3 linked regions of the Ovis aries genome follow. The protein of the gene in region 1 purifies or fractionates together with the protein of each later gene. This does not show direct contact. Links are inferred from orthologs where the notes say so. Each region holds a gene or a part of one and is shown on either strand. Other genes may lie near its edges.

Region 1 (3,111 bases):
ACTGAACTGTGATATCTAAACAACATACTATCCCAAACACTTAAAAACATGCACTGAATGTTAGAAGTGATGCCAGAGCTTAACCACTCACTTCATGTGCATAATAATATATAGTAAATGCTATAAATATTTGTTGACTGAATGTCTTCTAAGACTGCAGGTTGTGAACCCAAACTTCTATCACTTACAAAGTTCAAAGAGCTGGCCCTTTAGGCGGCTGAGTATTTTACAAAACCAAAGAACCAGTATTCAAAAGGAGCACCCAGAGAGACCATGGTCTTGGCTGCTTGTAGCAGAGCACGAACCATGTAAGCTATTTCCCCAAATGAACTGCTGATTCATAAAGCTCCTTTTAACAAGAGCAAAAGCCTTTAACTGCTACGTACTCTCTCTACTCTCTCTCCTGAGGATGGGAGCAGAGGCAGGCACCTGCAAGGCCTAGCTATTAACATTTAAGAGGCCCAACCACCTCTGCCTTAGGCCAACTATAGCCAAGCATAAACACATATACCCTAAATTTAATGGCTCTGGAGAAAAGCTTTAGTGTTTTAATACTGTCCTGTAATAATACTCTCAACTTTTTATTAGAACCTGGTGGCTGAGTAGAGTCGACTGCACTTGTGTTAGGGCTTGGGAGCCTGAGTGAGACATGCATGAAATGAAACAGGGTGTCCAGCTGTTGTGTGTTCAGAGACTTATCAGACACAAACAATTATTCATCATGAAGAACATTTTCAATACTGTCATAATATAAAACAAATATTTTAATTTTTCAAGTGTTTTCTTTTAAAAAAAAAATTTTTATACTTAAGTCAGCCTTGAAAATAAGCACAAAATCTACCTGTTTACATTTTTTAACTCAAAACACTCAAGCACCCATTCTGTGCATAGCACTATTCTAGGTGCAAGAAAAGGGAGTCTTAACTATAAAAACAGGATTTCACTTTCTGGAATTCTGTTATCTCCTTTCCAAAGAGTAAAAATAAATAAAATTACCATTGTTTACTGTTGACCTGCCCCCAAGCCCACTCCTGGCTCTCCGAAATGCTAGGTTCTGCCAAATTTAAGATGTTTCAATGAACTCAGTTCCTACTTCCCCCAAAATAAGAAAGCAGAACCCTTTTCCATTAAACAAATAAAAAAACAAACAATTTTCCATGAAAGGCCAGTTTCTATTTCCAGTTAAGTATTTTTCTTTTTTCCTCTCTAGATTTTCTTTAAGTTTTCTTCCTCCAACATTAGCTTTTCCTGTACAAGGCAAACCAACATTTTTTTCTGTTTTTTTTTTTCCCCCCCCTAAGAAAAAGTACTGCATCTTGAAGACAAACCATTCCCAAGACTGGTGATATTAAAACAAACAAACAAAAAACTTTAAAGGTGAATCACCTACATTGATGAAGTAGAAAAAAAAAAAAAAAAAAGCAGTTGGCACTAAGATAGCTATTCCAAATATCCATGTTTAAACAATTTAAAAAACTGTTTATTTATTTTGTAACAATGTACCCTAGTCCAAAGTTAACTATGTTTAAAAAAATTTTGGCCAAAAAATTTACACAAACATTTTCAGTTCAATCTAATAAAAGTGATATCTAGAAAATATTCCATATCATTAAGTCTGTCTTATATAGTTCAAATTCTAAAGCATTCCTAAGGCATGGTGTTCTGGAAGACAAATGTGCTTCTGTGGCGCTGCGTGACGTATGTGGCATCCAAGATTGGCTCCAAGCAGGCCCGGCAGGCACGTTCCTCCTGATGCTGTGAGACTGTGAGAGCAGAGTCAGACGTAGGCCCCCAGGGCTGCATGGAACTCTGTGAGACACTGGACTAGCTGCTGGAACTTGGGCCTCTCCTCCGGATCTAAGGCCCAGCAACAAGCCATCACAGCAAATCTGCAGTGACAAAACCAGAAAATTTGCCTATTGACGATATACTGGGTTGGCCAAAAAGTTTGGGTTTTTCCACAAGGTGTTACTCTTAACCTTTTGATCAATATGATACCAGCTACATTTTCAGTCTAAATGTAGGTGTGGAGAGGAAGACATATTAAAAATCAATCTCTTCGCAGAGCAAAAATGAGTTATGTGGACATTACATGTGGATTTCAATTCTGAAACATGTCAAAATATACCACCAAGTAGAGATTTTATGTAACTATTTAAAACACAGTCAAAATAATAATCTGCTTTATCCTGCACAGTTGATTCTTGAAGAACACAGCGGGGAGGGGAGCTGACCCTCTGCACAAGTCAAAAATTTGCATATAACTTATAGTTAGCCATTCATATCCCCAGTTCCTCCACATCCATATACTCAACCAGCCATAGGCTGTATGATACTGCAACATTTATCACTGAAAAAAAAATCTACATGGAAGTGGACCTGCAGAGCTCAAACCCACAATGTTCAAGGGTCAACTGTATGTAAGTTGTGAGAGAAAAAACTTGGAGGAAGGGGAAGCTGTAACTAAGCTGTAAGAATCCTGGATCTATAGCAAAATCTGTACAAAGCTGCCCCCTCATCACAGTATAAAAACCTCAGGGGATTCTGGAACTGAGACTTAATCACACCCCTGAAGAGCCTCCTGCCCACTCTGATCCCATTACATGGGAAGACTAGCTATGTGGTAAAAGCAGGAGACGGGAGATATCTCACTCATTAGACCAGAACATCTTCCTTATACGTATATCAATTCACACCAGCTGGCAAGGCCAGATGGCAAAGGGAAAGGCTCGATATAGAAGCAGAAGAGGGCGTCAGAGGGTAAGATGGCAGGATGGCATCACCAATGCAATGGATGTGAACTTGGGCAAACTTCGGGAGATGGTGAGGGACAAAGAGTTCTGGCATGCTGCAGTCCATGGGGTTGCAAAGAGTTGGTCATGATTGGGCGACTGAATAACAGCATGTTCAGTGTTTTCTCACTATGCAAATGAGTATCTTGGATTAATCACTACAAATATGAGACAAAAATGTCCTAATGTCAAATGCACTCAAGAGTGACTGAGTCTGGCTGACTTTGTGGTTTCTCTGTGTGCATGCTTACTCAGTCGTGTCCGACTCTTTGTGACCCTTTGGACTGGAGCCCATTAGGCTCCTCTGTCTACGGGATTT
Region 2 (4,299 bases), on another chromosome or scaffold:
CCCTGATTGTCAAGGTGGGAGACACCAACGACAACCCGCCTGTCTTTGGCCAGTCAGTGGTGGAGGTGTACTTTCCTGAGAACAACATCCCGGGAGAGAGGGTAGCCACGGTGCTGGCTACAGACGCGGACAGTGGGAAAAACGCTGAAATCGCCTACTCGCTGGACTCTTCCGTGATGGGGATCTTTGCCATCGATCCCGATTCTGGGGACATTCTCGTCAATACCGTGCTGGACCGCGAGCAGACTGACAGGTACGAGTTTAAAGTTAACGCCAGAGACAAAGGCATCCCCGTGCTACAGGGCAGCACCACAGTGATTGTTCAGGTGGCTGACAAGAATGACAATGACCCTAAGTTCATGCAGGACGTCTTTACCTTTTATGTGAAAGAAAATTTACAGCCCAACAGCCCCGTGGGAATGGTCACAGTGATGGATGCTGACAAGGGGCGCAATGCAGAGATGAGCCTATACATAGAGGAGAACAGTAACATTTTTTCCATTGAAAATGACACGGGGACTATTTACTCCACGATGTCTTTTGACAGAGAACATCAGACCACATACACTTTCAGAGTCAAAGCTGTGGATGGGGGAGATCCTCCCAGATCTGCTACAGCCACGGTCTCTCTCTTTGTGATGGATGAGAATGACAATGCTCCCACTGTCACCCTTCCCAGAAATATTTCCTACACTTTACTGCCACCTTCAAGTAACGTCAGGACAGTAGTAGCTACAGTGTTGGCAACAGACAGTGATGATGGCATCAATGCAGACCTTAACTACAGCATTGTGGGAGGGAATCCCTTCAAGCTGTTTGAGATTGATTCCACCAGTGGTGTGGTTTCCTTAGTGGGAAAACTCACCCAAAAGCATTATGGCTTGCACAGGTTGGTGGTGCAAGTGAATGACAGTGGGCAGCCTTCCCAGTCTACCACGACTCTGGTGCATGTGTTTGTCAATGAAAGTGTTTCTAATGCAACTGTGATTGACTCTCAAATAGCCAGAAGCTTGCACACCCCACTCACCCAGGATATAGCTGGTGACCCAAGCTATGAAATTAGCAAACAGAGACTCAGTATTGTCATTGGGGTGGTTGCTGGAATTATGACTGTGATTCTAATCATCTTAATTGTAGTGATGGCAAGATATTGCCGGTCCAAAAATAAAAATGGCTATGAAGCCGGCAAAAAAGATCATGAAGACTTTTTTACACCCCAACAGCATGACAAATCTAAAAAACCTAAAAAGGACAAGAAAAACAAAAAATCTAAGCAGCCACTCTATAGCAGCATTGTCACTGTAGAAGCTTCTAAACCAAATGGACAGAGGTATGACAGTGTCAATGAGAAGCTGTCAGACAGCCCAAGCATGGGCCGATACCGATCAGTTAATGGTGGGCCTGGCAGTCCTGACCTGGCCAGGCATTACAAATCTAGTTCCCCCTTGCCTACTGTCCAGCTTCACCCCCAATCACCAACTGCAGGAAAAAAACACCAGGCCGTACAAGATCTACCACCAGCTAATACGTTTGTGGGAGCAGGAGACAACATTTCAATTGGATCAGATCACTGCTCTGAGTACAGCTGTCAAACCAATAACAAATACAGCAAACAGGTAAGATGCATCCCATATATATTTAAATATCTAAGACAGGGCATCTTCTGCAAAGTCATGTCTTCACTCTTAAAGCTATTAGTTAAATTTTTAACAGCAGGAAATTAATGTTGGTGTAATTCTTATACCACTTATTTAGTAGAAGACATTTACAAAAGGTGCACCACTATAGTTTGCACCTTATACCAGAGTGTACTAAGTTACAGAAGAAAGCACTGTAAGTGGTATTTTACGCTTCTCTTGGTGTTTGACAATTCTAATTCATGCTACGTTTTTTGTTTCCAGATAAATATGTGTGAACTGTTTGGATGGCTAGTTTTAACCTAAAATTCTTTTCTTTTGTGCTACTAAGTGGATAATTTTATCCAAAGACAAAATTTCTAAAGTTACTACTGCTGTCTATGCAAATTGGACACTAAGTAGTTTTAGCTACATTATATATTATGCAGAATTTTACAGATAAGCAGATGCTGATTCATGCAAATGAAGTACCAAGTCTGAGATATTGAAATGCTGACTGACAAAAATGCTGACTTAAAAATATTTAATGATATGTAAATACCATAAAAAACTACATTTTAATATTTCAGTATCTATACAATTAGGCTTTTATGAGGATATGCAGTTGGCATTTGTAGTATATGTATTTGGTATGAAAAGTTCATAAGCAAAAGTAAATTGCATGAATCATGTATTATTTAAACCAAGTAACAAAAATGTTCATGTTTGATGTAGTGTGTGAGAATATTTTGGTATGCATTGTGATATATTGAGACTATAAAGGTTTTATGGAATATTTGACACAGTTTTTTCTCAGTGAAGTGTGGAAACTGAAAAAAAAAAGCAAAGTATATTCTGAGGTGAACTTCAGAAAATATATAATTTATTTTTGAAAGTTTTGTTTTGTGTAATGTGTGTGTGTGAGTGTATAACTCACAAAGTTTACTCTTCTCACCCATCAACATTTGACACACAACAAATGAAAACCGTTTGGAAACGTCTGTACCTAAAGCTGTAGCAACTCTGCTAATAAAACATTACATATTTCTTACCGCCAGAACATTTCAGGAAACATATTTATGTCTGTCAAGCAATATCCAATAAAGAGTGTTCTATTAAATATGTTTTGCATATAGAATGTGTGATCTTAAAATAATTGAGACAATGTAAAAAGTTTATTTTATAGCCTCACTGAAGATGTTATTGATGGGCTCATTAAAGGTATAGAAAAGAGATAAATATTAATTTCTTATTGTTTCCTATAATTTTAAAAATAAGCATTATAAAGAAATGTTTTTGATGTATTCCTTTATTGTAACTATTTGGATAAGGAGAAATAGACAGTATGCTTTTATATCCAGTTACCAAAGCAATCCAAGAAAACACAGGTCTGAACTACATTGAATTAAATGACTTTAAAAAAGATGTCTTTTCAAGTACGTGAGTCTTATTTCCTATAAACTAAAATATGCCAAGTGGAAAGTATGTTTGTTATCGCTTTACCTAGGCTTTAGAGGCAGATTTCTATTTTGTTTTTGGTGCTTTTATCTGTTTTATAAACAAGGAAGATTCCAGTTAAAAGTAACAGCACTTTTATAACATTAGCTATAGAACCCACAAATAGAGATTTGTAGAGATTTCTTTAGAAAATGATAATTTGTTAAGAGAAAGCATGTGAAAAGATCTTTATGCAGAATACGTACTTCACTGTCATCTTAAAAGAACTTTGTATCCTGTGGTTGACTAACATTTGCATTCTAAATTATGTAATCTTAAACTTTTGAGTGGACATATCAAGTGGCAGATTTATAGATATTTTATACAACTATCTCCTATGTTCTGTTCTGTCACTTAAGCTTTATTTGACTCATCAAATAGGGTTAGCTCTATATTCTTGAATATTTAAAACAGCCAATATCAAGAGTGTGGTGGCATCCTGTCTAAAAGGCAAAGTGATATGCTTATAAATAAACTAATGTATGGTGTTAGTCTCTTAACTGAACAAGGAAGTCCATATATCAGAAGAGAAAACCTACAAAGCCGTTCAAATAAGCCATGCAGTTTGCCAAAAATAACTTTGGAAAACATATATGTTCTTAAGCATTTGAAAGATGTATGAAATTTTAACCACAATAAACAGCTGATCTAAAATGAAATAAAGGCAAATGAAATACATTCCCCTTAATGTAATTAGTGATAGTAATTGATATGCTTCATCTACTCAGTATTGCTGTCAGGAGACAAGGGATCCATTTACAAATTTACATTCTGTTTTGACATCTGGCATAATGAGATCTTTTTTGTTCTCATTTTTGTTTGTGCTGTAGATAGATGATTTTCTATATTTATTTTTAAAAGATATTGCCTTTTTAAACATCACCAAAATGTATTTTCTTTGATTAAGCCTGAATTTTTTTTAATTCAGAGTTTTCTTATAATTTCTCCTCTTTAATGCTGAATTTATGTAAAGAACATCTTGAGAGTTGCCATTTTTAAATTTCATATGGTAGGGATTAATTAAAAAATAGATTTTATCTGACATAAAGCCTTTATTAACTTATAATTTTCCTGAATTACCTTATTATAGTTCCTTATTTGTGATACAATGAAAATGATGTCTATTCCAGTGTTTTTATCTTCATGAGAATAAGTGTTGCTCCTAAGTTCTGTTAATGGTTAGGCT
Region 3 (4,299 bases), on another chromosome or scaffold:
TTCAGCATCAGTCCTTCCAAAGAATATTCAGAAGTGATTTCCTTTAGGATGGACTGGTTGGATCTCCTTGCAGTCGGAGGGATTCTTAAGTCTTCTCCAACACCACAGTTCAAAAGCATCAATTCTTCAGCACTCAGCCTTCTTTATGGTCTAACTCTCACATCTGTACATGACTACTGGAAAAAACATAGCATTGACTACACAGACCTTTGTTGGCAAAATCCCTGCTTTTTAATATGCTGTCTAGGTTTGTCATAGCTTTTCCTCCAAGAAGCAAGCCATCTTTAATTTCATGGCTGAAGTCATCATCTGCAGTGATTTTGGAGCCCAAGAAAATAAAGTCTGTCACTGTTTCCATTGTTTCACCATCTATTTGCCATGAAGTGATGGCACTGGATGCCACGATCCTAGTTTTTTTGTTGAGTTTTAAGCCAGCTTTTTCACTCTCCTCTTTCACCTTCATCAAGAGGCTCTTTAGTTCTTCACTTTCTGCCATAAAGGTGGTGCCATCTGTTTATGTGAGGTTATTGATATTTCTCCTGGCAATCTTGATTCCAGCTTGTGCTTCATCTAGCCCAGCATTTCACATGATGTACTCGGTATATAAGTTAAATAAGCAGGGTGACAATACACAGCCTTGAAATACTCCTTTCCCAATTTTGAAATGGGCAGAAGACCCTATGCAGTAATCATGGGGATCTCCTAATGACCTCAGCAGAATTATTTGTAGATGTCTCCTACTTTCGGGCATTCTAATGTATAGCCCACAATTTAATCTGGCCCTCTAAAACCTGAAACTCAGCTTTTACTCTGAATCATGCTACTCTACACCATAAACCCTAGGTTCCAGCCACAGTCAAACCGCACTTCTCAAATCTGTTCAGCTTGAGATATGATTCTGTATCTGAAGTGCCACCTCTGCCCTTTATGTGGTAGTCAAGCTATTCTTAATAGCCGCCCCCTCTCCCTGACCCCTCAGAATTACAGTCCCTTTTTGGCGCTTTCAGAGAATGTACTTCCACTCCAGCTCTCACACAGCTGCAGTAGTTCTTCTCACACCTGTCTCCTCTACTCGTCCAGAATAATAGTTCATTGACAACTGATTTAAATTATGATATTAGGAACGGCACAACACCAAAACGGTTTTTTCTTTCTTGGAGAATAACGACACTGATACATACTTGAGAAGACTGAAATCTACTAAATGACCTCAAGGAAATAAAAACAACTGATATTTTCAGAGTCTATTCCACGGCCAGTACCGTCCGTCTGAAGTGCTTTACACATTAAGTCACTTAGGCCTCACAACAAGTCTATGAAAGAGAATCATTCCCACTTTCTAGATAAGACAGAAAGACAAGAGAGGATACAGAACTTCACAAAGAACTCCCAGCTGCAAGCCTGCTTACAAGTCTATTCTTCCACCTTACAAAGCTCACTCAGTAATTTTTTGATATGACCATACTTCATTAAATTAATATGTGTGGACATGTAACAGAAGATAGTACACGAAGATATTGGATACCTGAGCATTGGTCTTGGTGGAGGTGGCAGCTCATCAGGATCCTGGCATCTTTTAGCTTTTTTAGTGACTTGTTTGTAGATGTTCCGAGCTGTCACTCCCACCCATAGTACTGTAGCAAGAGTGGAATAATGAAGAATTATTCCAACCTAGAAAGAAGAATACATGAACTAAATGAATTCCCCTTTACAATCAAAATATAATAATTGCTAGTAAGCTTCCTCAAAAAGACTGGTAAGTTATTTTGAATATCTGACTCAAAAACTGTACAAAGGTATATTCTAATGATCCATTCCTTTGCCCACTAATGAACAAAGAAAGCACTCCAACAGACATATAATAGAGGACTGAATTTATAGTTGAATACAGGAGGCCCACGGACTACAACTTATACCTAAGATGACACTAAACATACCATGGAATTCATTCCTGGACAACAGTAAACCAAAGCCATGTTTCCCATAGATGCTATGTTATAAATCAGAGTTGAGTTCCTAAAGTCTATTTTAAAGAGGAATGCAGATGTCAAGGGTAAGTGAGAGCGAAAGTCGCTCAATCGTGTCCGACTCTTTGCGACCCCATGGACTATACAGTCCATGGAATCCTCCAGGCCATAATACTGGAGTGCGGTAGCCTTTCCCTTCTCCAGGGAATATTCCCAACCCAGGGATCGAACCCAGGTCTCCCACACTGCAGGTTGATTCTTTACCAGCTGAGCCACAAGGGACGCCCAAGAATACTGGAATGGGTAGCCTATCCCTTCTCCAGGAGATCTTCCCGACCCAGGAATCAAACTGGGGTCCCCTGCATTGCAGGCGGATTCTTTACCTTTAGCTATCAGGAGAACGTCAAGGGTAACTGGAGGGCAAAAGTCACAGCACAGAGAATAATCTTTGGAGTCAGAGACCTGAATAGTTCTAATTCACAGCTTTTATGTATCAAAATGGATGACAAGTGAGCAGTATAACAGATCGGTGAAATGAGTGAGCTCTAGAATTAACAATTTTGCCTGGTTTTAAAACCAGAATCTACCCCTTGTGACACCTTAGCAAACTCGCAGAATATCTCAAGCACTGTTCTCATTTGTAAACTGAGGATAATATCAAAGTACCACAAGGCTTTAAATAGAACACCCTATATAAAGCATTTAGCACTTTGCCTGGTACATTATACATGATTAAAAATACAGCAATATTTTTATTATTATTAGGAGTATGGTTTTAAGAAAATAACGTCAACATTCTTGAAATTAATGTTCCTCATTTGAACAGCAAAAAGACTATCCATAAGCATCCCTAGGGGTTTTTGTAGGGACTGAAAGGGCACAACACCTGGGACATAATAAGTACTCGAAAGATGATGGAGAACTGCAATATAGGTAAGTGATAACACTGAGCTCCTCCCAGAGGGATGATAGGGGGCATGTTTCCCTTGTGAACTGTGTCTGAAGCAACAGCAGTTAAAGATAAAATTCTAGATAAAAATAAACATGAGATAAGAGAGGTTTAAAATCTATTTTAAGAAAAACAAATGCATGGAGCAGCAAGGACATAATTCAACTTTCTTATCTAATTCTATCTTTTGATCCTTTCTTCTTATACAACGATTACAGGTGAAATTCTATGAATGAAAATTTCCAAGGGGGAAAAAAAAAAAACACTTTTTTTTAATTCAAAAAGGATGACTCTCCAATCTCAAGAAAATCAAACTGACTGACATCATCAATCCTACGTAAGTAACAGAAGCATCTAGACTGCTAAGGCTCATGTTAATGAGACATGAACCTCATTAGACTTGGTGACATGGAAGTACACAGATTATTTTGCAAGGCAAAAACTAGGGTGGTCACTTGTCCAGGGAAGTCACTACCCTCTCAATGGCTGAAAGGGCTAGGAGGGTGATCCAGCCTGGCCGAACCAGATGGTCAGAGTATCTTCATCTTTAAAAAATTTTTTTAATTTAATTTTTATTTATTTATATTTTGGTAGTGTTGTGCAACACAGGGGATCTTAGTTCCCCAATCAGTGATTGAACCTACGTCCCCTGCAATGGAAACATGGATTCTTAACCACTGGACCACCAGGGAAGTCCTCACAGTATCTTCTTCTTAAGCAGAAAAGTTGCTCCATGGTTCATACTAGCTTTACTCACTGCACTATAAAAGCAAAGCTTACAGATGCAAGTGGAACAAAAAGCATAAAATAACCCTCTGAGCTATCTGGAGTCACATCAGATGTTGTAAATAAAAATAGTATAATTGGATTTGGTGCATAAAAACCAAAACATTCAAAACCAATCAATGATATTGACTCAAAATGATATCCTCTACTGTTTCTACAGTTTTCTCCGATGTAGAGGTCAAAAGAATGAGACAAGGCTGTAAATAAGCTTCAAAACACAAGTTAAAAATATTTTCAACACAGAAGGTGCAAGATGGAGAATTTTCTTGTTTTAGATCTAAGAGGTAAAACTCAATCTTTAGATTTTGAAGTGTTTCCTATGGCATTTCAAAATTTGCAGAGAAGTGTTCATACTTAAAAGATCCTAAAGCCTTCCAGTTAAACAATTATTGCCATAGTGGAATTTTAGGGGTCTAAAGGCACCTGGTAATAGTCACATAAGCAAATCACCAAATGTTCTATAAGAAAGAATAAAGGAGGCACTGAGATCTAGTCTAGCAGCAATGTGTTCCTATCTTTTGGAAAGAGTTGCTTTCTATTTTGGGATTCCCAGGCAGCTCAGCAGTAAAGAATTCACCTGCCAATTCAGGAGACGCA

The links.
Region 2: the proteins of RYK (region 1) and PCDH7 purify together in Homo sapiens (affinity purification with mass spectrometry; 3 studies listed by BioGRID and IntAct, with this or other methods). This does not show direct contact. The link is inferred for Ovis aries from reciprocal best matches to the Homo sapiens genes RYK and PCDH7.
Region 3: the proteins of RYK (region 1) and ADGRA3 purify together in Homo sapiens (affinity purification with mass spectrometry; 3 studies listed by BioGRID and IntAct, with this or other methods). This does not show direct contact. The link is inferred for Ovis aries from reciprocal best matches to the Homo sapiens genes RYK and ADGRA3.

Annotation. Positions count from the first base shown.
Region 1 is NC_056054.1:255,841,783-255,844,893, reverse strand, and holds the end of RYK (tyrosine-protein kinase RYK), read right to left. Parts: exon of another isoform or gene 1,890-3,111; coding exon 1,778-1,889; 3' UTR 747-1,777; downstream 1-746. UniProt on the Homo sapiens protein: May be a coreceptor along with FZD8 of Wnt proteins, such as WNT1, WNT3, WNT3A and WNT5A. Involved in neuron differentiation, axon guidance, corpus callosum establishment and neurite outgrowth.
Region 2 is NC_056059.1:50,573,022-50,577,320, forward strand, and holds part of PCDH7 (protocadherin-7), read left to right. Parts: coding exon 1-1,616; intron 1,617-4,299.
Region 3 is NC_056059.1:42,569,983-42,574,281, forward strand, and holds part of ADGRA3 (adhesion G protein-coupled receptor A3), read right to left. Parts: intron 1,672-4,299; coding exon 1,526-1,671; intron 1-1,525. UniProt on the Homo sapiens protein: Orphan receptor that may have a role in planar cell polarity pathway.